Linked DNA regions of Drosophila melanogaster. The gene in region 2 interacts genetically with the main gene of each other region. Each region holds a gene or a part of one and is shown on either strand. Other genes may lie near its edges. The genes, in order: dgo, pk, bdg and Mks1.

Region 1 (7,313 bases), 3.6 Mb from region 2:
GTGAATCACCTCAAAAAGTAGGACAGATTACCATCCTAAACACGTCCAATACAATTAGATGCTTCCAAACGATTCGAGTTTAGGAGCAAGAAAATGCAAGCTTAAAAGCCCAAATGAATATTCATTTGACTATATCTGCAATTCCAATTACTCGTTCTAGATACTTTGCGGCCAAGAAATACCCAGCTGGGTCAATCGTCTAGCGCATTTCAGCTCCTGTGTGCCATTTCTACAAAGATGTTTGCCAAAGTAAGCCTTTCTAAGTGAAACAAAAGCCAAGTTCATGATTATTAACTACTCTATGTTGTTTTTTAGAGAATGGCTGACACCGAATGCCTTGCAGCAAAGCATTACCACAATCCAAGAGCGCGAAGACTCCGACAACAGTCCCCTTTGAGACGTTACCTGACCGAAAATATGTCACTTGGCGACACACAAGCGATCATAGTTCACATAAAACAACAGTCCTGAGACCAACATTGTTAAGTTACGCAGAGCAAAAAGCCGGGTTACTCATGTCACATCAATTTCCAAGCCAACAACGCCCCCTAAATAGAAAGCAACAACTATTATTAATAGACTTAAATTAGGCGATATACATATACATACTTACATAGAACAAACCTACATTGAGACATACTTATACATACATGCGAAGTGACTAAATTATTGGCTATTGTAATTTGTATTTGTAATATGACTATTCAGAATTAAGATATTATTAAGTGGCCGATAAATTTAAGTAGCAGGCGCCGTTCAGCAGCAGTGTCATTTATAGAATTTTAAATTAACTACGAAGACATCGAGAAATCATCATTAGGCACTTGCTAAAATTGTACTAACAATACCGCAGACATATTGGTGAACGATATCAAAATGTTGCCCAATTTACTTGTTTACTTTTGTCAGCGGTGGGGATTTGGTTTTTTTGAATTCCCACCAAACATCGGAGCTCGATTATTGAGATGATTTCCTGGTTGATTTCGTTTACACAATTATACAGAGTTCATAAGCCGCATGTCTATCAAAACACCAAAATGATCTGTTATCAATAAATATATGTACTTGACATTCTGATATTTACACATGCATAAATACTATTATTAAACATTTTTAAAGAAAAATATATTTTGATCGAAAACATTCGGTTGCGTTTGATTTACAAGCGAGCAGGTTGGAACGTTTTTAATATTTTGGGTATTTTTGGGGTCAAAAGTGGAATAACCAAATAATTAAGTACACGATATTCTCATAAATTACGCAGAATATGAAAACACTCAGACCCAAAACTCCTCAACAAAAAACAACAAAATTATTGTACATATATCTTTGTATTATATTTATATATTTTAGACCCTCCAGATTAGATGCATCAGTTGAAAATAAGTTAACTTTTCTTTGTAGTTTAAAACTTGATTACAATTAAGATAAATATGTAGGGATTAGCTATGTACAATGGGAACAGCTGTGGGATTACCGAACTCAAACTAGACTCGAGACATTGTTGTAGAGGCCAACGGCAGACAGCTCGTCCAGATCGATTTCATTGGATGGAAGATTGGGATGAGGCCAGTTCCTTGGCCTTTGATTAACATGGGGCGGCACAATGGCCTGAAAGGTGGGGGACTGCAGAGGCCTATAGGCTACCGCATCCACGTAGTCCACTTGTCTTGGTGGAGCATTTGGATGTGGAATCCTTCCCACGTAAAGATCTTCACTGCGATAGAGACTCGCATTTGGTACGTAGCCGGAGTGCAGCCTTCTCTGCGGAGTTTGCGGAATCGGTGGACGGTGGGGCAGTTCATGGAAGTAAGCATCTTTGGGTATGTGTCTCTCGGGCAGCCCAAACTGGGCGCTACTCCGGTGGGGAATACTATACGTGGGCGAAGGGTTCGAAGAGGTGCCCTCCAAGTGATGGAAGTTATTGTTCAAGCGGGAGTGTGATCTTGCGGCGATCACATGTGCCGTCTGGGAGTCCTGTCGATTGGAGTCAATGGTGTTTTGCAGTTGGGCCACCATATCCCTCACCTGACCAGCGTTCGGCTTCTTTAGGCACTTGATTTCACTGTTCCGAATCTCCACCTTACTCATACTTTCATTGCCATTTTGACGCACTTCTGTTTCCTCGGCGTACTCCATGATGGGATTGGAGTAAAATAAATTCGACATGACGGGATAGTTGTCTTCCAAGCAAAGAGGCTGCCGTTTCATCAGATTGGAGATACCTGCCGCCTCGCTCGCTTGCTCCTTGTAGAGCAGCTTGTCGCCTCCCATTCCCTCGGCAGTTTCATTGACAGCCGTCTCCTCTTTGCCCAGATCCGCGAAGGAGGCATCTTTTCGAAGCGCCTTGATCACCGAGTTCAGCATGTTCTCTCCTCTCCCAATGCGCTGGTAGTACTTATTGTAATCCGGGTGGGGATTGCTGCCCGTGGGTGATGCCTCCCAGTCCCAGCTGTTGGAGTTCTGGGAGGGATTTGAGGTCTCACTGGAGTTCGGATAGCGTCGTATCACGTTGGCGTACTCGTCGAAATTGGGACTATTAACACTCTCTTTATCTTCTCGAAGTTGGGCAGACTCCGCCCTTGGATGGGGATTATAAGGTGGCGATAAGGAAGAAAGCTGGCGCTTGCTCTCCTGTTCGCTGTCCCTTTCCATGATCAGGGTGGTTTTCTCTAAAAGCACTCCCAGTCTTTCGGAGACTTTTAGGAAATCTAGCTTAAGTTCATCTAGCTTCGAGTGCTCCTCTGGTTCCGCCTCTTCTTGCACCTGGTCCTTGTCACCCACTTCTGCCTCTTCTTCATCCCGAGCTTCATTGGAATCGTCATCGCTGTCGCTATCCACCTGGACCTCCGCTGATCGGTGTACTATAGCCTCCACTGCCTGATCTTCCAGGACATCTACACTCCGTGAGTTGGTGAGCCTACCACCTTCGTGGTTGTTTTCCAAGAGCTCTAGACTGCGGCACCTGGACATTGTTCTTTCGATCCTTGAGCTCTTGTTCTGCTGATCGAAGGTGGACCGCATAGGTTCACCTCGTCGCAGGAACTCACTGAGGTGCTGCCTCTTGCTCTCGCATCGCAATCTGTCCTCGATCATCGTTCTTGTGAGCTGTTCAATCTGATCGTTCGTCTTGATTGCCAATGCCTGAACTTTGTGACCTAGACGTTCCTTGGTTTTGTGAACGTATTTCTTCAAACTCTTTCGATTGCAATTTAGTTTGTTTTCAATGTGACGGAAGAAGGGACCGCAATAGCATGTGTTGCCCACGCTGACCGGACCCTTGTGAATATGACCAGCCAAATCCAGGAAGTATTGCTCCCCCGACTTAAGTGGCTCCTTGGGCAGTGTCTCCAGTTTTGGTGAAGGAAAGGCACGCGGATCGGGAAAGTAGTGACAGCCATAGGGTGACCAGTTGATACCCTTGTCCACCACATCCCTTTCACGATCTCTGTCCTTGTCCGATCTGCTGCCGCCCTCCTTGGGTTTCTCCTTGCGATTCCGTATCTTCTTCGGCGTGTTCAGGATCTCGATGATTTCACGGTAGTTCTTCCTGATCGCTATGTGCATGGGGCAGTCGCCTTGTGCGTTTTTAATGCCCAGCCGAGCATCTGCCTCTAGGAGAATCCTTGTCAGCTTCCTGCGACCCATGGCACAGGTGATGTGCAAAGCGGTGTCGCCGTTCAGATTTGTTTTATTCGGATCGCAAAGGGCGGAGAGCAGGATCCGGGAGACTCCTGCATGTCCATATCTGCAGGCGGTGTGCAGCGGAGTATCTCCATACTGAAATTGTTAAACATGTTAAACATGGTTATCACTGATATGATCCAACACTTACATTATTCCGGACATCGGGATCGGCGCCGGCCAGCAGTAGCTCCCTAGAGCTCTGATTGTGACCATTTTGAGCGGCCAAGTGCAGGGCGGACAACCCTTCGTTGTTGGCAATACCCAGGGCGCTATTGTGTAGGGCTTCGATGGTCTGGTGGGCCACCTTCACTCTGCCCTTGTTCTTATCCTTGTCTTTGTCCTTCTGTCCCTTTGCTGCTTTTCCCACCCCCGAGGAAGCGGGTGGCGTGGGGGGCGTGCAGATCAATTTCACGCAGCGACTGAACCCCCGACTGGCGGCCTCATGGAGCGGGGTATTCCCCTGCACGGATTCCCTGGCCAGTCGATCAGCATTGCTGAACAGGAGACCCTCCACCCGGCGATCATCTCCGGCGGCTACCGCCTCGTGCAGCGAAGTCCAATTGCTGGAGTCGGGCTTAAATCAGAAAAAGAAGTTACATCGGTGTAAGATTTGTTGGTTCAGGCAAGTGCCCTTACTTACCCCGGATATCGCATTCGGGAGAGCTTCCTGTTTCGGAATGCGGGAGGATCCATGCTGCATTGTCTGCGAAAATATTCATTATTTATCAAATTTGTTAAATTATAATTTCATTCATTTATCATGATGTGTTGCAATTATAACTTTTTAAGTAACACTTTATCAAAACCAGATAAAATTAAAAAAATTATTTATATTAGAACTACATTTTGTCTTTAATAAATGAAAAATCTTACTTAAAGTACCGTAATTACCGTTAGAATCGTTTATATGTCGAAAATCATATGAAAGATGGTATTCTTTGATATAACCTTGTTGACGACGAAAGAGCTTAACTTGACCTGGGATCAAATGAATCTGATCTTCGATCGCACATTTTCTAGCCGTGTATGCGCATGTATGTGTGCCTCACGTAATGGCGTACCACGTAGTAATTGTCATTACAAATAGAAGTGGGAGTTACCAAAAGCGATCAAATAAAGGACTCGTAATTTGAAATACAACCTTTTTGAGGGTAGATTAAATGTCTTTCATTATAACACATTGATAAAACATGTATGGTTTCTTAAATGTTCAACACTATTACAGTAAATTTCTAGACCTGAAAACCAGGTTTAAAGTGCGCCTAGGTTTTCTCGATTCCCGACTTACTTTTCACTAATTTTAAATCCCGTCTTTGGACCGCAATTTACGCATTGCAATTCGCCACTCTCACGTATTTACACATGTTTACTTTCGACTATTGTTCAGTACCCGACTTTGCAGTATTTGGCCATTGATGGATTGATGGAACGCCCAGAGTTAATTTGGCTTCAAGCCAGGCCTAAAAAGAGACTAAAAGAAAGCCAATCACAGGCAAAATTGGCAACAGGTTTCGAGCTGGGTTGCCGTACCTGCGACAGCTAACGGTGAAGCCGATAGTCTGCATTATTGCTCCAACAGAAGTACGGTCACTCTACAAGTAGGCAACGAATTTTGTTTGTCATCGGCATTTCGCATTCAACGTTTCCAATTGTTTTTTAAGGAGCTTTAAGAATGGCTTTAGCTGAAATCTGCAAGATATCGAATGCTCCGTACATGCGGCCCAATGCCTGGTCATCGGCGGATGTGGAGGAAGAGCAAAAAGGGCTTATGTGCAATCTGGCCAATCCCTACACACTGGCTGCTCCGCCATTCGAGAACGTATGTAGTTAATTAGCTGATCTTCTTGGGAAATTTACTAAAAAATTTGACAATTTCCTCAGCCCCTGCACAACCTTAATCAGATCCAGGCCAATGGCGACAAGACCGGCGTCAAAATCAACTTCGATCACGGCACCACAACGTTGGGCTTCAAGTTCAAGGGCGGCGTTCTCCTGGCAGTCGATTCCCGTGCCACGGGTGGATCGTACATTGGCTCCCAGTCGATGAAGAAGATCGTGGAGATCAATCAGTTCATGCTGGGCACCTTGGCCGGTGGCGCAGCCGATTGCGTTTACTGGGACAGGGTCCTTTCGAAGGAATGCCGCCTTCACGAGCTTCGAAACAAGGAACGCATCTCGGTGGCCGCCGCCAGCAAGATAATGGCCAACATTGCCCACGAATACAAGGGAATGGGTCTGAGCATGGGCATGATGCTGGCCGGTTACGATAAGCGTGGTCCAGGCCTCTACTATGTGGACTCCGAGGGATCTCGCACGCCTGGCAATTTGTTCTCTGTTGGTAGTGGATCGCTGTACGCCTACGGTGTCCTGGACTCTGGCTATCATTGGGACCTGGAGGACAAGGAGGCCCAGGAGCTGGGACGTCGCGCCATCTACCATGCCACCTTCAGGGATGCCTACTCCGGTGGTATCATTCGCGTGTATCACATTAAGGAGGACGGCTGGGTAAACATCTCCAACACCGACTGCATGGAGCTGCACTACATGTACCAGGAGCAGTTGAAGCAGCAGGCCGCTAAGTAGAGTTTTGATTAAGGGAATATAAGATATTCAGTTTGTATACGTTTGAATTTCTTGGAATAAATAAACGTGCTAGAGACTATGTTTTGTGTATAATTGATTGGGCTAATTTGTTTTGCTTTTCATAGGTTTATTACTATAAATGTAGTTGTATGTATGTAATGTATTTTTGGTAAATATAACAAGTACGCATATATTAATAGTTTAGGTTTCCTTATTCTTTTTTTGCTGTGAGATCATTTGCAATGTTTCCTTGTGTCGCACTTCCGCTCGTTTTTGCTTGAATGTCCGCTTTCCGCCCTTGGTTTCCACTCGCTTTCTTCGCAGGACTCCCCGTTCCATTGCGCTTCGAAGTTCCTGCTCGGCATCCAAGTACGAAGGTATGTGGATCTGCCGTATCATTCGATTCCGCACCATAAAGTGATCAAAGGGGTGCTGACCACCATTGCGATCGATGAAAACTGCATGGGTGAGCTCGCAGGTCATGTGTCCATCCGCTACATCGATGATTCCGGCCACAGAGGTCTCGTTGTGCAGATCGATCAGTACGGAATGACCCTGCAGCATCACGGGCCAACAATTTAAGGTGTTGGACACCAAATACTTCTCCCGCGCACTAAACTGCTGCATTATATCGATATGTTTAAAAATAAGTGTTTGCTCTTGGACACGGAGCTGCCAACTCGCTTCATAAGTAATTTGACATTTTCATTAATTAGTTTTGAACTACATCTAAGAGAAGTACTTACGGAAGTTTTCAAGTAAAGGTTTTTTCCCTTTTTCACGTTTGCGTGACGGTCGTGTAAAACAGTTTTGGCAAACAAATCCAGCTATGGTGCGTATGAACGTATTGGCCGATGCCCTGAAGTGCATAAACAACGCCGAGAAGCGTGGCAAGCGGCAGGTGCTGCTGCGTCCCTGCTCCAAGGTGATCATCAAGTTCCTGACCGTGATGATGAAGCATGGCTATATCGGCGAATTCGAGATCGTCGAGGATCACCGTGCCGGCAAGATCGTTGTCAACCTGACCGGTCGGCTAAACAAGT
Region 2 (5,664 bases):
CCATCGATGCTTGTCGCGTAATTTATCCGATGCCAAATTGCCGGCGTTAATATCTGATAATGCCTGACCCATTGGCAGCGGCTGATTGAAATCGCACTAGGCCAACGGGGCGTATGCGCGTTTGCACACGCCTCAGCCTAGGCAAATGCAGAAGTTGCCATTGCTGTATTGCATTGCTCTTAACTGCGATTTTCCATACGACTCTACTTTAGTTTCAATGGCTGGCGGCTCTGTCATCAATCCCCAGTTGGAATTACACAGTTGACCAGGAGTGTCCCCCCTTGCATACGGCATAAACTCAAGTATGGTAGCTTTATGGTGCCTTTTATTGCCAGGCATTTGCCGGGGCTCAAGATTTCATGGCCGGCGGCTGGGAAACTGCGTGGAAAATGGCAGACAGGCGCAATTAATTTTATGACTATTTATGTAGATTTTTCTCGGAGTGTAATTTACAGAAATGCAGGTTAAAAAGTCAATTGCTTTGTCTTGGTTTACTTTCCCAACGCGCAGTTAAGCCGTTCACCGCAGCACTCAACCTTTTGTGTTTAGTGTTGCGCCCACTTGAGCCGCATTTGCCCGGAAAGTCTCTTTTGAACGGGTTAAAATTGTGTTATCAAGCTATCAAGAACCCCATTCAGCGCCACAGAATCTGACATATATATGGACTTATCACTGCCTACCTAAGTGGTTTAGAAAGCCGCAGACGTGACAACTCATTCAGCGCGGCTGCAACTGTAAAATTTCATAATTTATTATGCAGTCGGATGGGCCTATGCAGCTGGCACATTTTCCGATATTACCATACGAATCCCGCCAGGGAGACAATATAAACAATAAGAGATATGCACCCAATAGCGGTCTTCAGAGCTGGATTCTTTCCGGTTCTGTTTGGCAGTCAGGCGGGATGTCTCACTCGCTAATGGATTAACTTGTTTGTCTATTTTACTGCCAAACTATAATTTGAGCCTCTGAAAGCTACGGCTGGGCCAGGCCGTAATAATTACACAGTTTAGGTCCGCCAGCCAAACTAGTTTGGGCGAAAGCCCGGCGATCTAATGAGCCATTGTCTGGGCCTCATATTTCATTGGGTCGGATAATAATCTCACGCCTGGCTTATCGGTGGAGCGGGGTGCTAAACGTCTTTGTCGCCATCGAAATTGATTGCTCTAAGCAGAAATGGAATTCCTTTTCAAGTTTTTATTGCGCTCACATAAAACCCGATCGCATCTCGAAAATCGTTCGATGTCGTGGAAAACAAAGTGAAATGAAAATCGAGTCGGCACGCCGCCAAAATGGACACCTTGTGGGCGGTAGGCAGTTGGCCGGTCTAATCTGCAGCGCACTCGTGTTAAATGTCAAATCCAATCAAATGGCGTTGAGTGAGAGGAAACGAGCGGGCCGGGCCAGCTAACGTTGCTCCATTTTCCGGGGAACCCGTTCTTATCTGCCTGGAAGATGGTTGGGAAACTAACGCGAGCTGACAGGATGACAGTTCAAATTGGCGTTTGCATACGTCCATCGACGGATCCAATACTTATTTACGACTTCCCGCCTCAAAAGCTCATAACGGGGCCTAATTAATTTACAGACCGAAATTCGCTCGCCAATGATGAATAGCTGGGAAATGGTTCGTTAATTGCGTCTTTAAATGGACGTGAGACATGTGTAATATGCAAATGGTGGGGCACAGACACAGAGATTGACATAACGAAGTTAGGTTGTTGACCCACTCGGACCTTTTGTTATGCTAACAAAACCAAGTCGATAACTGTAAAGTGGCCAATCTATTCCGAGGCGGGAATCTTTAGCTGCTTTGTATCTCAGATAGCCCGACAGCCAGATAGCCAGAGCATCTTGCCTTCATGCTCCGGCAATTGTGGCTAGATGGCTGCGTGCGGAGTAAACTAACCAACAAATTAACACGCCAGTTAGTTAGTTAGTTAGTCAGTTCGAGGCGTCGATTGGGGTTAAGCAGCCGTGGCAGTTGGCCCATAGTGAGGGAGAAAGTTGATGCAGCAGCTCCATAATTGAGCCAACTAGTTGCCGCAACTCGGCCATAAACAACAGTTTTATTTCGAACCGCCGCCGGCCGACGCTACATAATTATGAAGAATTTCTCAATAAAGCCCGGAATCGAAGCCAGCCGCAGTGCGAAAATTGATTTAGTTGGCCGGGCCATAAAAGACCAGAGCGAATTGCAGTGTTCCGTTGGTGCTTTATGGCCACCGTGCCTGGGCTATGTACATACACCGCGGAGGAATGCGCCGCAGAACCACTATCGGTGCGCTTTAAATTCAAATTGGCATGTCAGGCAATTAGAAATCGGAGATAAATTTCAACCCCGGCCCACACACACGTTCAGCTCGAGTCAAATGTCTCTTGTCAATGAGGTGTTCGAAGCCCACACAGACACACACACACACACACGGGACTGAAAAGCAATTGCTAACAAGCCATTGTTGACACATTGCCGCCATGTAAGCCCGTTTCATTACACTTCTGTGGGTGGCAGCTGCTTTGGATCACCAGATCCGTAGATCCTCAGCTTTATCTGCACTATGGCCCACCAAAAACTAATTGGATCAAGCGGCGGAGAAAGCCAAGAGCTGTGCGCGGTAATCAAAATATTTCGGGCTTTGGCAAGTGTTTTTATGGCTAGACGAGTCATGTTTTATGTGCTGGAGCGGGTCGTAAGCCTATTTGGTTATGACTTCATTCCGCGAGGCTGCAGCAAGTTGGTGAAAGTGCGCTGCGAATGGCGATTAAAACTTAACGCATCTAAATAAATCAAGCTGAGCACTTCAGTTGACGTGTAATGTGCATAAGCTTATGAAAGCCATTACACCGACGGGCCGGGCATATCCAAAGTTCGTTGCTCAAGTCTTTCGTTTCCTAAGTATCAGCCACACACCTTGGCTAACAGATTCTCGACCTTCGATAATCCCATAAAAATATTGCGCTAAAGCAGCCGGCCCGACGTCTGTGCCTCGCATATCAATCGGCCTCGAATTTCATTTGATTTTTAATGTAATTTTATTGTCAGTTGTATCTGTATCTGAATACGAATACGAAAGCGTTTGTATCAGTGAAGGAGTTTGAGTTTGAGTATCAGCTGGTATCCGTGTTGTACGAAACGAGCTGCGTTGACAATCATCAGGCGAAAACATGGCTTAAATCACATCTCACTTGCCCGTGTGGCTTATCCCGAGCATTTAGCGTAAATGAGCGCTTAGGCCAATTGTTGCATTAATTCACTTGGCCCCAGGAAGGAACACTATGCCAGACTTATTTAGCTGGCCCTGATAGGGACCACTCTGGATTATGGATTGCACTTCACTTTTGTCAATTTTTTGCAATTGTTGCGAATTCAGTTAGCAGCTTTTTGTGCACTTTGCTCCGATCTGGCTGAAAAACGGTAAACGACAGATCTGGCGCAAGATAACGTGGACCGAAATCGACATAGCCGAAGAGCGCGCGATCGATCGATCGTTCAGACGGATTACGCGACGACTAACCCGCACCTGTTGCCAGATGTAAACCGCTCGCAACTGACGACGCTTTCAGACTGATCGAACCTGCCCAGATGTGGATTTCTGTGTGGTTTGATCTTAGGCTGTGGATCGTGTTCGATGAAGGTAAGGTGTTCGTGGGACTTCTTGCTTTAGTGTTCTTTCAACGAGCTGCCAAAATACTATCACTATTAAGTGTAGTTAACGATAACAAGATAGTTTATAGTAATTTGTTTCCGATTTCGTCGTTAAAATTGTCTAAATTTGTATAAAACGCCAAATATCATAAGCTGCAACTCAATCCGCAACTGCAACATCGAACTTGTTTGATAGCTCCATTGCTTACACTACCATCCCAAAAGTATGCTTCGTTACTACGCATTTTTAGAATCATATACATGTAGATTTGCGCGTAAGATTCTCTGTAGAATCTGAGTTCCTAATATTTCATCGTTTAAGTCTAATGTAGAAATATAAGTTTCTTGTTTCTTTTTGCAAACAATATAGGGTTCTAAAATTCTAGATGCTGAAGTATCTGAAGAACTTTCCAGGACTCTATGGGACAATAATAGGGCTTTTACATAGAATGCCTCGTGTTCATAAATAGTGAATTGCGTAATCTACCTTCCCATGGATGTAAGAATTTAGTAGTTATATATCCAGCCGTATTCTGATGGCAGCGCTGTTCAAATCTTAAATAATTAACTTTAAGTAATAAACACCTTGTAAATTAATGGTGTTTAAAGAGCAATAAACTTAAAATAATTAAGTAAGAAAAAACTGCATGTAGTAATGAAGTGCATCAGAAGAGCTGATTACCACACATACACGAAAGAATACGTACTAAAATGATTTTCATACTTTAACAGTTAAAACACTAGAAGGGTACCCAAAAGAGTTTTTAATATGGTAACCGTGAAATACGATTTGGCCAAACCCTTTTGAGTAATTAAGAGTGGTTTTTATAAATTAGATGTGACCAAAAATATAACATAAGCTACATTTAAAGCCGGTACTTAGTGATGAAATATCTCTTGTCAGAAAGCAAAAATATTTCCCAACCACATTGCAAAGTGGGCTTGAAGTGACAAAAAGTGCGATGTCAACCGTGTTGGCCATCTGACGAGTTCAAGGTTGATTTCCAGCTGACCATGTTAGTTGGTCACCATCATTGCCTGCCGACTGGAGATCATTAGGCCGCACATTAGTGCCATCTCAGCGCAGGCTAATTAGAAGCTGAGTGTGAACGGAAACACTACGTTTCTGCGTGCCGCTTTTTGTTGCACAACCTGGGATGCCTCAATGATGCATGATTTATGGCATTTTGAATTGTGGATCGGCGGCGTGTGAAGCTCCCGAGGGGCCGGGCATCAAAGACCTGTCCAGCAATACGTATACTTATGTAGGTTTCTGCGCTTGGCTTACCTGAAACGAAAATGTAAATCGAAGGCAATTAGCTGAGTCTAATAAGGGCCAAAATAAGATTGAGTATAAGAATGGGGATTATAGTTGGATAGCGTTGACGCTATCAAAAAATCAATTTGGCTAATTGCAAGCATAACGGCCTCATTCGTTGCCACATTTCATCAAACACCATTTGGGAAGGAAACGTCAAAAGAGCAGCCCCAAGGTGCAGACAACTTTTAGACACGCCAAGTCTGGGAGGGAATGGCTGGAGTTTAGGGGGCTGGACGTGGTTCGTTTATTAGCGGAATCGAATGGGCCCCAAAGTGTCATCAAATCAATGCAAGCTAGCTCAAATCGAAGTCGGCTTCCAAACTTTTCCGGCCCACATTTGCGCGCCATTAAGCATTATGGGGGTTGCGGGGTGTGGGCCCGCATTCCTCTCGTGAAATGGGCAATTTTGTTGGCCCATAAAGGGCTATCGTAATGGGAAAAGTTGGCGCCACATCGGGGGCACAGGTGTGTCCCCAGGCAGGGAAATAGTTCCCACCCCGGGCGGGCTAATAGATTTCCAAATCAATAGACCATCCCTGGGGAGTTTTTCTTTATTTCAATGCGAGAGTTTTAGCAACTTCTCGGTCATATTAAATTTGGACGTTAACATTGCAAACAAGCCGCAAAAAGCTGTTTTGTAGGGCTACTTTAAGCGTTTTTGGTGCTCTCGATAACAGAAACCACGTTCTCGGCCATG
Region 3 (6,026 bases), 8.7 Mb from region 2:
GCCCGAGAAAAATGTTTGTTAAAGCCACAATCAAATCAGAACCACCGATTGGGACAGGTCAGTGGGAAGATCACTTTTCATTCTACGTTAAAATGCAATCAAATGCAAACAAGCGCGTGCTCTGGCGTTTTTACGATTGTTTGCACGTGAGTGAATCGCGTCTATAAAAAATGAAAAAAAAAAAAACAATCTACGCCAGCTGCTGTCAAATGGTCGAGAAAAAATATGGAAAAAAAATGTTTAATGGTAGAAAAAAAAATAAAGCAAATAAATAAAACAGTAGGAAAGAGCAGAGCTCATGTTCATTCAACTGATCAGGTGAATGTACTTCCGTTAATAATTTTTTAAGGCACGATATAAACAATCAATTCGGAAAGGGAGTGCTGGAGTCTAGGCCTTAAAGGGGGGAGATCGTTGGCACGTTACCTCGATTCACGTCAAAATTGTTTTATATTCGCTTTTTTTTTTTTGTTTACCTGTATGAATACCCTTGTGTATTATGGAGTTTATTTAGTATTTAAGAAGACATTTCCGACTTGTCGGCGGTATCAGCCGGTGATTCGATATAACGAGGACCAAATAAACGTAGTCCTCTGGCCAGGATAGCAAATAAAATGTGGCAAACGGTGGTGGTTTTTTTTATTGCATGTGGAAATGTTGTGTTCAATCAAAAGCAGCACATAGTTGCCATAGAAACCGGCAAACCTAACTTGCATAAGTTTATGCAGTTTATTAACTGTATAACGGTTATACATCTAAGCAAACTTTTTTAATTTTAAGGATTCTATAAGAGTAGATGTGCTGATCAAGTACAAGTGCAATGCTATGTGTATATAATAATGAAATTATTAGATACTAGGGCATCTGAGCTTCGACTTGGCCAACTTGCCTTATCAGTTGCTGGTCTGCGATCTCATTGAATCACAGAGTCTGTTGAGTCTGGTTTAGCTTTGATTTTATTTTGCATACGCTTAGCCGTGACCTTCGTAGCCGCCATAAAATCTCCGAAACTCACACACGCGCACGCGCACAACCAGTCTTGCACTTCTTTTCGGTAATACCTTTTGGTAATATATGCGAATGCGATATGGGCAGATGGTGCGGTGTGGCGTGGTGTGGTGGTAATAGAATGGGCAGCATCCACACTTTAATTGGTGGCCCAGAGGTCAAATTATTTAGCGAAGCAGCGCCATTGATCGCAAATTCACATATGTACACAAACCGATACATTTATATATATGTACATGCAAACGTACATAGGCAGGCAACCACGTACCGTTAAATTTCGCTGGCGCTCTCGTTTTCTGGCATTTCTCGCATTTTCGCACCGCACACAGAAATGTAAACAAAACAATTAGAGCTGCCGCCGCAGCAACAGCAAGTGCAACTCACAATCGATCGGCAACTCTGGCGAAGGTCACCTCGCCAAATGTTGGGGCTAAAATGGCAACTCCCAGGTGTGGTGCACTAATCACCAAACATCGCTGCCCGCTGGCCAACTTGTTTTCCTTTTCTATTCGTGGAGAGACTCTGAGTGTGCAATTACAATGAAATTGACATTCACCAGGCAAATAAAACTAGTTAATGCTGCCACACGCACATACATACGTATTTGCACACACACACACACACACACACGAGAGCGCAAACTGGGAAGCTGGCTCCATTGTGCGTGAGCAGCATGTCTGCCTGTGTGTGTATGTTAGTGAGCGACTAGGGTTGCAACTTATGCTGATCGCGAGATGCGAGGCTTCCAACGGTTCGATCTGCGATGCGTGCAGGTGCCGCAGCCCTGGCACAGTGAAAACCGGCTAACAGTAACTGGCATTAGTAAAAACTACACAAAAACGCAGGGTTTACTCTCTTTAATAAAGTAGCTCAAAACATAATTTAAACTGCTTTGTGACTTAATGATGTACAAAATGTATTAGGCATATGAGTTAAGCTAAAAGGGCACTTAAAACCTTAATCACTTGTAATGAGCCTAAATGGGTTTAATGAACTTTACAAGTGATTAATCAAAATCTATAAGCAATGTTTTGACAGTAACTTCTGTGGGTCAAGCACAGACTCGCATAGCGCCAGTTCACTGTACTTCAGCTATCTACCACCATGCCAGCTACTCTTGTAAAACATCAAACGTTGAGATCGGCACGTTTTATGCAATTTCTTCGTAGACAGATAAGTGCTGCAAGTACGGGGTGCGGCATTCGCATTCGATCCCCCTCCTTTTGGGACTTGCATATGAGTAATGCAGTCAATAAAGTGCCCACCGCGTGTAACTGCGCCTCCAATTGAGTTCAATATTTAAGGGAAGCACTGGGTCAATTGCTAAACAAACGTTGTGTACGGATACATACATATATGGATATAGAAATTCTGAACACATTCGCAGTCCAGATAGCGGGAATTCGTTATTTGTTTATTTTTGCATTCTCCTCTGGCAGGCGGAAGAAAGAGAAAGAGAACGGTAAAAAGCCCGCCCTGCTTTTGTTTTTCTTTTTTTTATGCGCTGTTGAAATTGTATGTATTTGCAAAACATTGCCAACACACACCATCACGCATACATACAGGTTATCCAGAGTTTTAAATGAATAATCATTCCGAATAAAAAATAAACGCTGATTGGGCTTTTGCGGTTCGCTGGGGAATACCTTAATGGGTGGATTGGTCATTCTCTTTAGAAGGGAATGGTAAGGGGTGGGGGGACAGCCCACAGCTGTTTCCAGCGACTGACCCGAATGGAAAATGTGAGAAATGGTATCAAGCCAAGCGCGTATGCGCAGCACGCTCGACAACCGAAATTACGGTGTGTACTTGTGAGATTGAGATTTTCAGATACGTGTCGCGCTCTCTCTCCCCTCCCTCCCTCTTACAATCTAGATAAGCAACGCTCGCTGAACGTGTGTGTGCGTGCGTCGCTTTGTTTCTCACCGTACGAAAAAGTGTTTTTCGAAGAAGATTCCAAAATGGAAAGGTAGCGGACTGTAAGGGTTTTCTGGTGTAGCGGGGGGATATGGCCACTGCTTGCCACACCACACTATAAAGAGCATAAAGCGCCCACACTCCGTAAAATGCAGCAGCAACACCAGACACACACACACACACTTGAACTCTTCCTTTGAAATACTCGCAGAATATACTCACACGAGCGCGCGTTTGGTAATTTCGATTTCACACATAAAATTCCCCGTAGCTTCGGTTCGGTTCTTCTAAATTTTGTTCACTATCTTCTGCACTTCTTGGCGTTGGAGCTTGTTAGTTTTTCGCGACCAGAACTCAATGGAGCTCCCTTACGAGCAGCGCACACGACTTCACGCGGAGAGCTGAAAACGATTGCTTGGATACCAATATTTTGGTACTTTTGAGTAGAGCCGTCAAAACATCGATGCTACTATCGATAGTATCGAACCGTGCATGGCGATGATATCGAGATAGTTGTGAGCAGTGGAATCAGACTGTTGCAAGCTAATAGGCTAATCTCTCGGGGCACATCACTTGAAGACCGTTGGGATTTAAAACTTAGCAAAATAAATAAATTATTTTAAAGAATTTTTGCAATTGAAAAGACAAATTTTTTAACATTTACATATACATTTATTGGAGAATGCATATAGTTGTGTGTAAACCATACTATCAGCGGCCTATAAACATGATCAACAAAAATACATACATGTGTTAATAAGAGTACTATAACAAGAAATCCATGTGATCTGCGGTCGTGCCGGTGCATTGATACCCTTTTCAGCGCGAATTAGAGCTGCTCATCTATATAAGGTCATTTCAGCGTGCATAATGTATGGTTCAAAAGGGATGCGCTCGGACACAATGCGATAGTTAGTAACGACAACTTACAACCGTAGCTAATGTAAAAACGAATAGCTGCAGTTGGCCAAGTACTTAGTAGACGATTAGTAGACGATTATATTAGCTAATCACCGGATAATTTGAACTTCGCTGTAGTAGTTTGTGTGGGTGCAATCAATCGATTTGCTTAACTGCTAACTAGGCTGGTGAACTCTAAATGATGTCGATATGCACTTCACGAAAGGAACGTGCGCACGAATCCCTTGATGTCTGCGCGGCACATGGGACAATTGGCTACACTGGGGGCGCACTGATTGCAGGTGGCTGTCGGGTTAACAGGAAGTTAGCTACAGCTCAAGGCAATCAAGGTATAGTTCAGCGACTTACCCAAGTGGCCACAGGGCAGGAACACTACGCCAACCTCCTCGTCCAAGCATACCTTGCATAAGCGTGCATCCTTTAGCTGGCGGTTTTCCTCCTCCAGCGATAGGTTTCCGTTCGGCGTGGCCACCGACATCTTTTGTATTTCGTCTGTGATTTTCGATATATTCGCCACTGCTTCAGCTGCCTGTGGTTTGGCTGGGATGGAATCGGCCACCGGTATTGGCACAGATGCTGCCTTGCTGGTGGTGGCCTGACATGGTTCAATAAAAGGAGCACTTGGCTCCGGCGGCTCGCGCACCTCCAGTGCAGCTCCTGCGCCCGCATCGTCAAAGATGTCATGCAATAGTTCGTCCAACGTAGAGAAAGCGCAGCCGGAACTCAAGAGCTTGCGCTGGATGGCATTGCGCACAACTCCTCCATCGATACCCAAGGCTAGGGCCTCCTTGGCCGGAGCTTCATCCATCAGTACGTCTGCTTGGAGCGTTGGAGCCGGAGCAGTTGCTGGCTGGGAACTGGCGTTGGCAGCTGTTGTCGCGAGCACTTCGCTTACATAGGCTGGACCCTTGGCCAGCAAAACGAACTGACACTTTGGCGACCACTTGGCGTGTTCGAACCACGGCTCGTCCTCCTTCTGCCAGGAGCGCAATCCAATGTTGCAGTGGAAACAGCGCACCTGGTCGCCTATTTTCTGATAATATAGGCCAGCCTGCGCCAAAGCCGAAGCGGGCTGAATATTGGAAATGGGCCAATCGGTGAAGGTTCTCAATCTGGCGTCCACGCAGGCGTACTTGGGACGCAGTGGCAGAGTGGTGGGCTGGATGCCCAGCTCATCCAGGTTCTTCCCGGTGGCAAACTCTATAAGGGGGCCCATTTGCACACGAGGACATTGGGGAAAAAAGCGCTTGTGCTCTTCAAAGGCATTGTCGTTCTTCTCCCACTTGGCAATCACTCCGTTGCACCAAACACACTTCACGTGATCCAGACGGTTCAGGTAGTAGAAACCTGCCTTTGCCAGAGCCTGCGGCGTGATGTTGGGATTCTACAAAGGAAGACGTTTTGGGCTAAAGTTAAACTATCTTATTCAGTCATTAAAAATATTTGAAATTATACAGTATACAATAACTTCATTTGAAGTTCATAATGATTTTTGTATATCTTAATTAAAGCTTAATTTCGTAGGATTATCAATCAACATTCAGCTGAATTGAGGCAGCTAACAAGACATTTCTTGTTTGTATACAAAAATATCATTGATACTTTCGACCGGGATTTTCCTGGCCTCATTTACGCTACTTTTTAACTACGCAATCATACTTACATATGCACTTATAGTGAGCTTGAAACTGAAACTATAGTGATTACAATGACCCGCTATGGTGAATCACCAGAAGCGAGCGACACCAGCTCAGGGTACTCACCGGCCAGTCCTTGAAAGTTACCAAGCGATTGGCCTCCAACAAGAGATCGGGACAAGAGCAGGACTCCGGGCTGTCCACTACGCTGTTTCCCTCGTTGTCGCTCTCCTGGCTCCTGGGAACATTGCCGCAGTGATTGGGAGCCAGAACCATGGAGCAGATGGGCGAGGAGCGGCGATGGCGCTCCGCCACTTGATCGCCGTATTCCCAGCGGTCGATGCGCACGTGGCAGAAATGGCACTCGGCCTCCAGCCAGTTTCCCGTGGCAAAGAAACCATTGGCGACCAGATCCTCCGCGGAAACTGGGGCATTCAGGGGCCATTCCCCAAATGTCGCCAGGCGAACGCTCTCCAGCTCCATGCCCAGCTCCGTCATCGTGGCGCTTCTAAATTGGATCCGAATGGATCCACCAATGATGTA
Region 4 (5,655 bases), on a different chromosome or scaffold from region 2:
CCATTTTTTGCAAATTTTGATGATGCAAAATTTACAAAAAATGCAAAAATTGTCAAAAAAATAAATTTTCCTAAATCCTTCAAAAAGTGATAGGGATCGTTAGCATTGGTAATTAGCTGCTCAAAACAGTTATTCTTTCGTCTATATGACATTTTATAGAGAAGTTATGACGAAAATTCCGTATGTAAAATCACGTTTTTCGCAATACCCGTTTTTTTAGAATTTCCGTCAATAAATAATCCGTTTTTTTGCCACAAATTTAAAAATAATTGCCTGAATATTGAATGTCATACCTCAATGAGCTCGTAATTAAATTTCCCATCAAACTGTGTCAAAAAAAAGGAATTCTATTTTTTTGCTATTTTTTTCAAATTTTGATGATGTTACCCCTTACAAAAAATGAGAAAATTGACTCAAAAATAAATTTTCCTAAATCCCTCAAAAAGTGATTGGGGTCGTTAGCAATGGTAATTAGCTGTCCAAAACTGTTTACATTACATCTTAATGATTATTATTAGCAAAATTATGATTAAAATTCCCATCGAAAAATGTATGAAATTTTGCCAATACCGTTTTTCCGATTTTTGAAATTAATATTATCGGTTTTTTTTTAAATAGGTGTCTGAATATATACCTCTTTGAGCTCGTTCTTAAATAATCTATCCAAAATATTCCACATCAAATGTACATACATATGCTTCTCACGTTTTTTACTCATACATAAAAAAAAATACGTCTTTCATAATATAATTAATTACTAATAATTATACAAATATTATAGTTTATATAAAAAAAAATTATTTGTCATCATATTATTGTACTCATTGAAGGGCTTAAAACTCAGCCTGGTAGTATGCAGATGATGGTGAGGCTGTTTCTGAACTATTTCCCAGGAGCAGCTCGATCCGTTTCCTGGCCTCCACAAAGGCGGCCATTACTTCGTCCAGAGTGGTGGCCCTCGAAGTATCCGGATTTGAACTGGATCTGACATCGTCATCATTGCTATCGCCATCGTCGCTACTATCGTTGCCGAGTTCCAGATGGAAGTGGTGATGGAACTGATCAGATGTGTCTATTTGGCGCTGCTGAAGCTTTTGAAGCCGGAGCGAAAGTGTTCCCGTGGTGGTCATTGGCCTGTCAGAGTTGAAGTTCAAACGGGAATGCATTTCCGATTGCCGATGTACATCGAAGAAGGACTCAAAGTCGAACAGCTGACGACCGCCTATGAAATACCGATTGAGGGCATCCAGCCAGTTGCCCAGTGGTCGGATGCACTGCAGCCGTATGGAGTCCGTTGGCAGGGCGGATGTTAACGGTATCGCATAGTGAGCATATCCCTCACATCGCTCCCGCTGCCAGCTATCTATGCTGATCACTTCAAAATATAGATGCAGTAGATCAGCCGGATGATGTTGTTCCTCCAGCAGCAGGGTCACCTGCCAGCAGTGACCCAAATGGGCACTCCTCCAGTCGCCGGCATTCCTGCACGTGGCCGTCGCTCCCTGCATGGTATCCACCCCAGGTGTACCCTCATAAAAGGTATTTGCTGGTGCTTTCAGATAGTATCTTACATGTATGTTGGGGTTCTCAAAGTTCTGGCCTTCCTGTAGTTCCAGCAGCAGGCTGACCCGCTTCATCCTCTTGGGCGGCATTTCGAACTGGAGGAGACTTCTCCTCTCGCTGGCTGCTTCTCGCCGTCTGCGATAAAACTCGAGTATCTCCTCGGCGGAGGCTTCTTCGGGCAGATCTTCTTCGATGGGTAAACCATCGCCCAGTTCCTGCTCATCCTCGCCATCCGCCTCCTCAGAGAAACCATCATCGTCGTAGGCCTCTAGCGGTGTGACATTCTCAAAGCCAAAGGCATACAACTGTCGGCAATCGTTATTCCGCTCGATCTGAATCACATAATCCAGATCCTGGGCACTGCTACTGAAATCCGGATAGACATAGAGCAGACCCTGTTCGGGATCATATCGTATACTAACCAACAGTGTGTCCTGCTGCAGATCGGCATAGATGTACATTAGCTGATAGCCCTTTTTATGGAATTCACTTGCTTCGGCGGGCATAAGACTCTCGGAATCATTATCCAATAAGGTGTGTATGAGGCACGTTCTGGCGGCAAAATTGGGGTCATCCAGTATTGAAACCTCCGACATATTCGCCGAGGACAGACTGGTAATAGTCGGGTGAGCTGCGGCAGAGCAGCCTCTCTGCTTCGCCTTGGGCTTTCGTATCCGGCGACGAATTGTAATAGGCTCAGGATCCTCCACCGTCTCTGCATCTTCCAGATTCTCCAGTTTCCTTAGATATCGCTGTTGTAGCTTCAAGGTTTCCAAGGCCCACCTGTGATAGCGCCGCTGTAGTTTCGAAGCGCAACTTCCAGGATTGTTTATATATTGCTCCAGTTCCGCTTGACTAAAGTGCTTTTGCTGCCAGGATATGCGTATTGTGGCTATAGCACCATTGCAGAGTTCCTTATTCCGTTTATAGAAGAGATCACCAGCGGGAGGACGACTATTATCACTGAGAATGCTCCACGACCGATTACTTTGGGACTCCAGATCCGTTATTTCTCCCTCGTTCTTATCCTTTTCCATTTCCCCCTCATGCTGAGATATTGGACTCCTTCGTCTCCTGCCGGTGTAACCAATTCCCACATTATAATAACTGCAGTTGTAGCCCAAGCCAGTCTTCCCTCCACACGAATCATCGCCCTGGGGGACATGAATATAGCAATCCTGCCAGATATCTTCCTCCGATCCGGGATAGTGGTCACCATATGCGTTCGTCGATTGCGCTCCCGCGTATTCAAATTTGGGGACCGGCAGCCATTCACTGATGTGTCGCAGCTTCAGTTCCAATTGCAGATCTCCTATGTTTCCGCTCACGCGATAAACTCCAGTGCGCTTTATGTCTCTGCTTTTTTGCATGATTCGCCGATGATTATTTTGCCCAGTAAATTTTTAGTTTCTTTATTCAAACCTCAAAGAATGTAAATGACTGGCCTTCTTTGTTTGTTTTCCATTTTGTTATGTTTTGTTTATGGTTTTTGAATTACCGTTGCCCAGGTAACCAATCGATTATATACCGAAAACCAACTATTGTTGCCGTGACAACCATGAAGGCCGATAACTGTCTTTGAAATATGATAGCTAGAAAATAGCCGAAATTATATTAGCTGCTCAATAAGATTTTTATAAATTTAAATTGTACAAACTGTAATTTATTCATTTATTTTATTATAGCCACAAATACAATGTCAATTAGATTGGAAATAATAAACATACATTACACAGCTAGCACTGAACATTTTTAAGTTGTATATTTTTTATTTAATAACTTACAAATAATAATTAATGCTTTGTTTCCAAACGAAATAATTCAGAATGGTGAATGGATTCAAATCCAATTTCAAGCGAGATAGCTAAATCTAGCTAGATAGCTGCACTGTCGCCAGCCCTGGAACATACCAACTCCGCTTCGGTATATTCGATAGGCTTATCGATTGCTCGCGAAGCTTTGCCGCTGTGTTTGTGTTATCGTCGGCCGCTTTATGCACTCCACATTCCTCGTTTCATTTTGGCCGCCAGTTGTGTTTTCGATTGCTCTGCGTGCTGGTCGTTCCTCCAAGTCTGCAATTCTGCACAATTTTACAATTATTCTTCGCGCGTACTCCAACTCCCCATTCATCCGTCTGTTTGTTTGGTTGTTTCCTTTCTTCGTTGCACCTTTTGCGCGCGCGCAACCGCCGATAAACAGAGAAAAGAAGAAAAGGAGAAATTCTGCAACAAACACTGGAAGTGCAATTTTAAGTAGACGATCCCGTGAATGTTTTCCAGTTGAAACATTTACTATCGTTTCATTTTTTTTTTAAATTTTGTTCTGTTAAGTGTTGAAAAAAAAGTTTTTGCAGCCACAGCAAACTAAAACTTTTCATCAAAATGCAGCAGAAAGTCGAAGAGGTTAGTAAATAATAAAAACATAATAATAAGTTAATAATATCTAAGATCTTGGTGTATATGAAATCAAGACAGACTGTTGAAAATACATGCTATGTTTGTTTGTTCTTCACCAAATGAAGAAAGTTTTAGGTAATTTCAGAAGCATTAAAAAGACATTAAGTAGGAACCTAAAAGTAAGCAAAAACTAGTGCATTTTATATTTCATTACTGAGGAAAAGTCTTATTACATATATTCGTTAATGTTAAACAATAACATTTTACGATTATAGTTTACGAAATAATCGTTAATTTCCAGCAGATGATTACATTAGATTTGCAGTTTATGAAGTTGTTCTTGTATTTTCTCTTACTTTTTTTTTTTGGTTTTTGATTTTACTCCACCCATTACCCATTCTCCTATCTCCTTTGCTTCCCTGCATTCTCCTGTATTTCATTGAACTTAGTACGCCCCCGATGCTGCGCTGCTTCTGCTGGCGTCGCTGCCGGCGTCGCTGTCGCTGCTCTGCCGTGACGTTCCATTGACTGATTTTCCCGACTTTCCGCAGAAAAAAAAGAGAAAAAAAAGAGAAAAAAAAAAACGAACAACAATAATGCTTTGGCCACAATTGTAAAATGGTTTTGTTTGGTTTTTCATTTACATGTTGTTCTTGTTTTGTTTTTCTTCTTCTGTTGCCCACAGGTGTGCATGTGTGTGTGTCCCCCATTGTTGTTGTTATTGTTGCTGGCGCTTTATTTGCACAGTTGGCCGCTGTTTTTTTTTTGCGTGTGTTTTATTGTGTTTAATATATTTTTGGACCCGTCTTGATCTTTTTTCTTGAGGGCCAAAACCAAAGTCATGGTAAGAGCTGTGAAATTTGTGATCGCCATTGTTTTGGTCTACAATTCTCGTGGTGCTCCTCCTTCTCTTTCTCTGGCTGTCTTTCTTCGCTTCCTTCTCTTGTCCACCTCTTTCGACGATGGAGAATTTAGGCCTTAAGTCCAAAAGTGTGCCACAAATGTCATTTTCGATAAGAAATCTCTTTTAAAATCATCCACATCATGACACACAAAAATTTAATATATAATATAGATCTGCAGACCAGCACAGAGTTGAACTAAAAAACTGCAAATGACACAGAATTTAGTATCAATTTGAAAAATTATAAAGTTGACCGGTAGTAAGAATTTGACTAATAACTTTATTATTTGGTTGCATTATATTCAAAATCTTCAAAAATAAAATTACGCTATGTTTAAAAGCTTTAAAATCCATATAAAGACAGTCTATAAACAACGCATGTTTTTCAATGTATAGCTGTCAAAAATATGAAATATGGTTACCTTTAAGAAGTGCCATAACAGCTGTTTAAGCAGCTTACTTAACAGCCCAGAACCCCCCACAAAAAAAAAAAAAACAGAATGTTTCATATTGAAAACCTAAACGAGATGAGACACGGAACCGCAGAGCCAGAAAAATGCCTTTTTCGGCCCGGCCAATGCCAGTTGCAAGTAAAAGTCGAAAAACCTGTAGACACAAGACATCGCAGAGGGGACCATTGAGCCAGATGACTGTCCATGACCCAAATAAAATGCCTCGAGAATCGCAATGAACATGTCGACAAATGATCGAGATGGGTGAAGGGGGGCGGCCGATGCAAGGGGGAGAGGGGCGGTGAACGGGGGCAGTGGGAGCTCCATGGTCAAGTGATTG

What was found.
Region 1: of pk (region 2) and dgo, changing one enhances a phenotype caused by changing the other (phenotypic enhancement), as found in Drosophila melanogaster (2 studies listed by BioGRID).
Region 3: of pk (region 2) and bdg, changing one suppresses a phenotype caused by changing the other (phenotypic suppression), as found in Drosophila melanogaster (one study listed by BioGRID).
Region 4: of pk (region 2) and Mks1, changing one suppresses a phenotype caused by changing the other (phenotypic suppression), as found in Drosophila melanogaster (one study listed by BioGRID).

What each region holds. Positions count from the first base shown.
Region 1 is NT_033778.4:10,814,714-10,822,026, forward strand, and holds dgo (diego), read right to left. Parts: upstream 5,172-7,313; 5' UTR 4,579-5,171; intron 4,391-4,578; 5' UTR 4,388-4,390; coding exon 4,328-4,387; intron 4,262-4,327; coding exon 3,836-4,261; intron 3,781-3,835; coding exon 1,483-3,780; 3' UTR 1,324-1,482; downstream 1-1,323. Other genes in the region: CG7222 (uncharacterized protein), read left to right, coding at 161-249, 316-397; Prosbeta5 (proteasome beta5 subunit), read left to right, coding at 5,360-5,506, 5,569-6,270; Lsm10, read right to left, coding at 6,472-6,897; RpS15Ab (ribosomal protein S15Ab), read left to right, coding at 7,100-7,313.
Region 2 is NT_033778.4:7,185,136-7,190,799, reverse strand, and holds the start of pk (prickle), read right to left. Parts: upstream 3,568-5,664; 5' UTR 3,187-3,567; intron 1-3,186. Other genes in the region: CG30384 (uncharacterized protein), read right to left, coding at 5,616-5,664. UniProt on the Drosophila melanogaster protein: Acts in a planar cell polarity (PCP) complex; polarization along the apical/basal axis of epithelial cells. Correct expression of the alternative isoforms is required for PCP signaling in imaginal disks.
Region 3 is NT_033778.4:15,928,590-15,934,615, forward strand, and holds the start of bdg (bedraggled), read right to left. Parts: upstream 3,347-6,026; 5' UTR 2,935-3,346; intron 1-2,934. Other genes in the region: Diap2 (Death-associated inhibitor of apoptosis 2), read right to left, coding at 4,043-4,131, 4,195-5,230, 5,610-5,981. UniProt on the Drosophila melanogaster protein: Putative sodium-dependent transporter which is required for viability, early imaginal disk development and adult motor coordination. Also has a role in the fate commitment of the R3/R4 photoreceptor cells.
Region 4 is NC_004354.4:12,493,629-12,499,283, forward strand, and holds Mks1 (meckel syndrome, type 1), read right to left. Parts: upstream 2,970-5,655; 5' UTR 2,934-2,969; coding exon 834-2,933; 3' UTR 767-833; downstream 1-766. Other genes in the region: mdu (meduse), read left to right, coding at 3,945-3,965. UniProt on the Drosophila melanogaster protein: Probable component of the tectonic-like complex (also named MKS complex), a complex localized at the transition zone of primary cilia. Required for ciliary structure and function.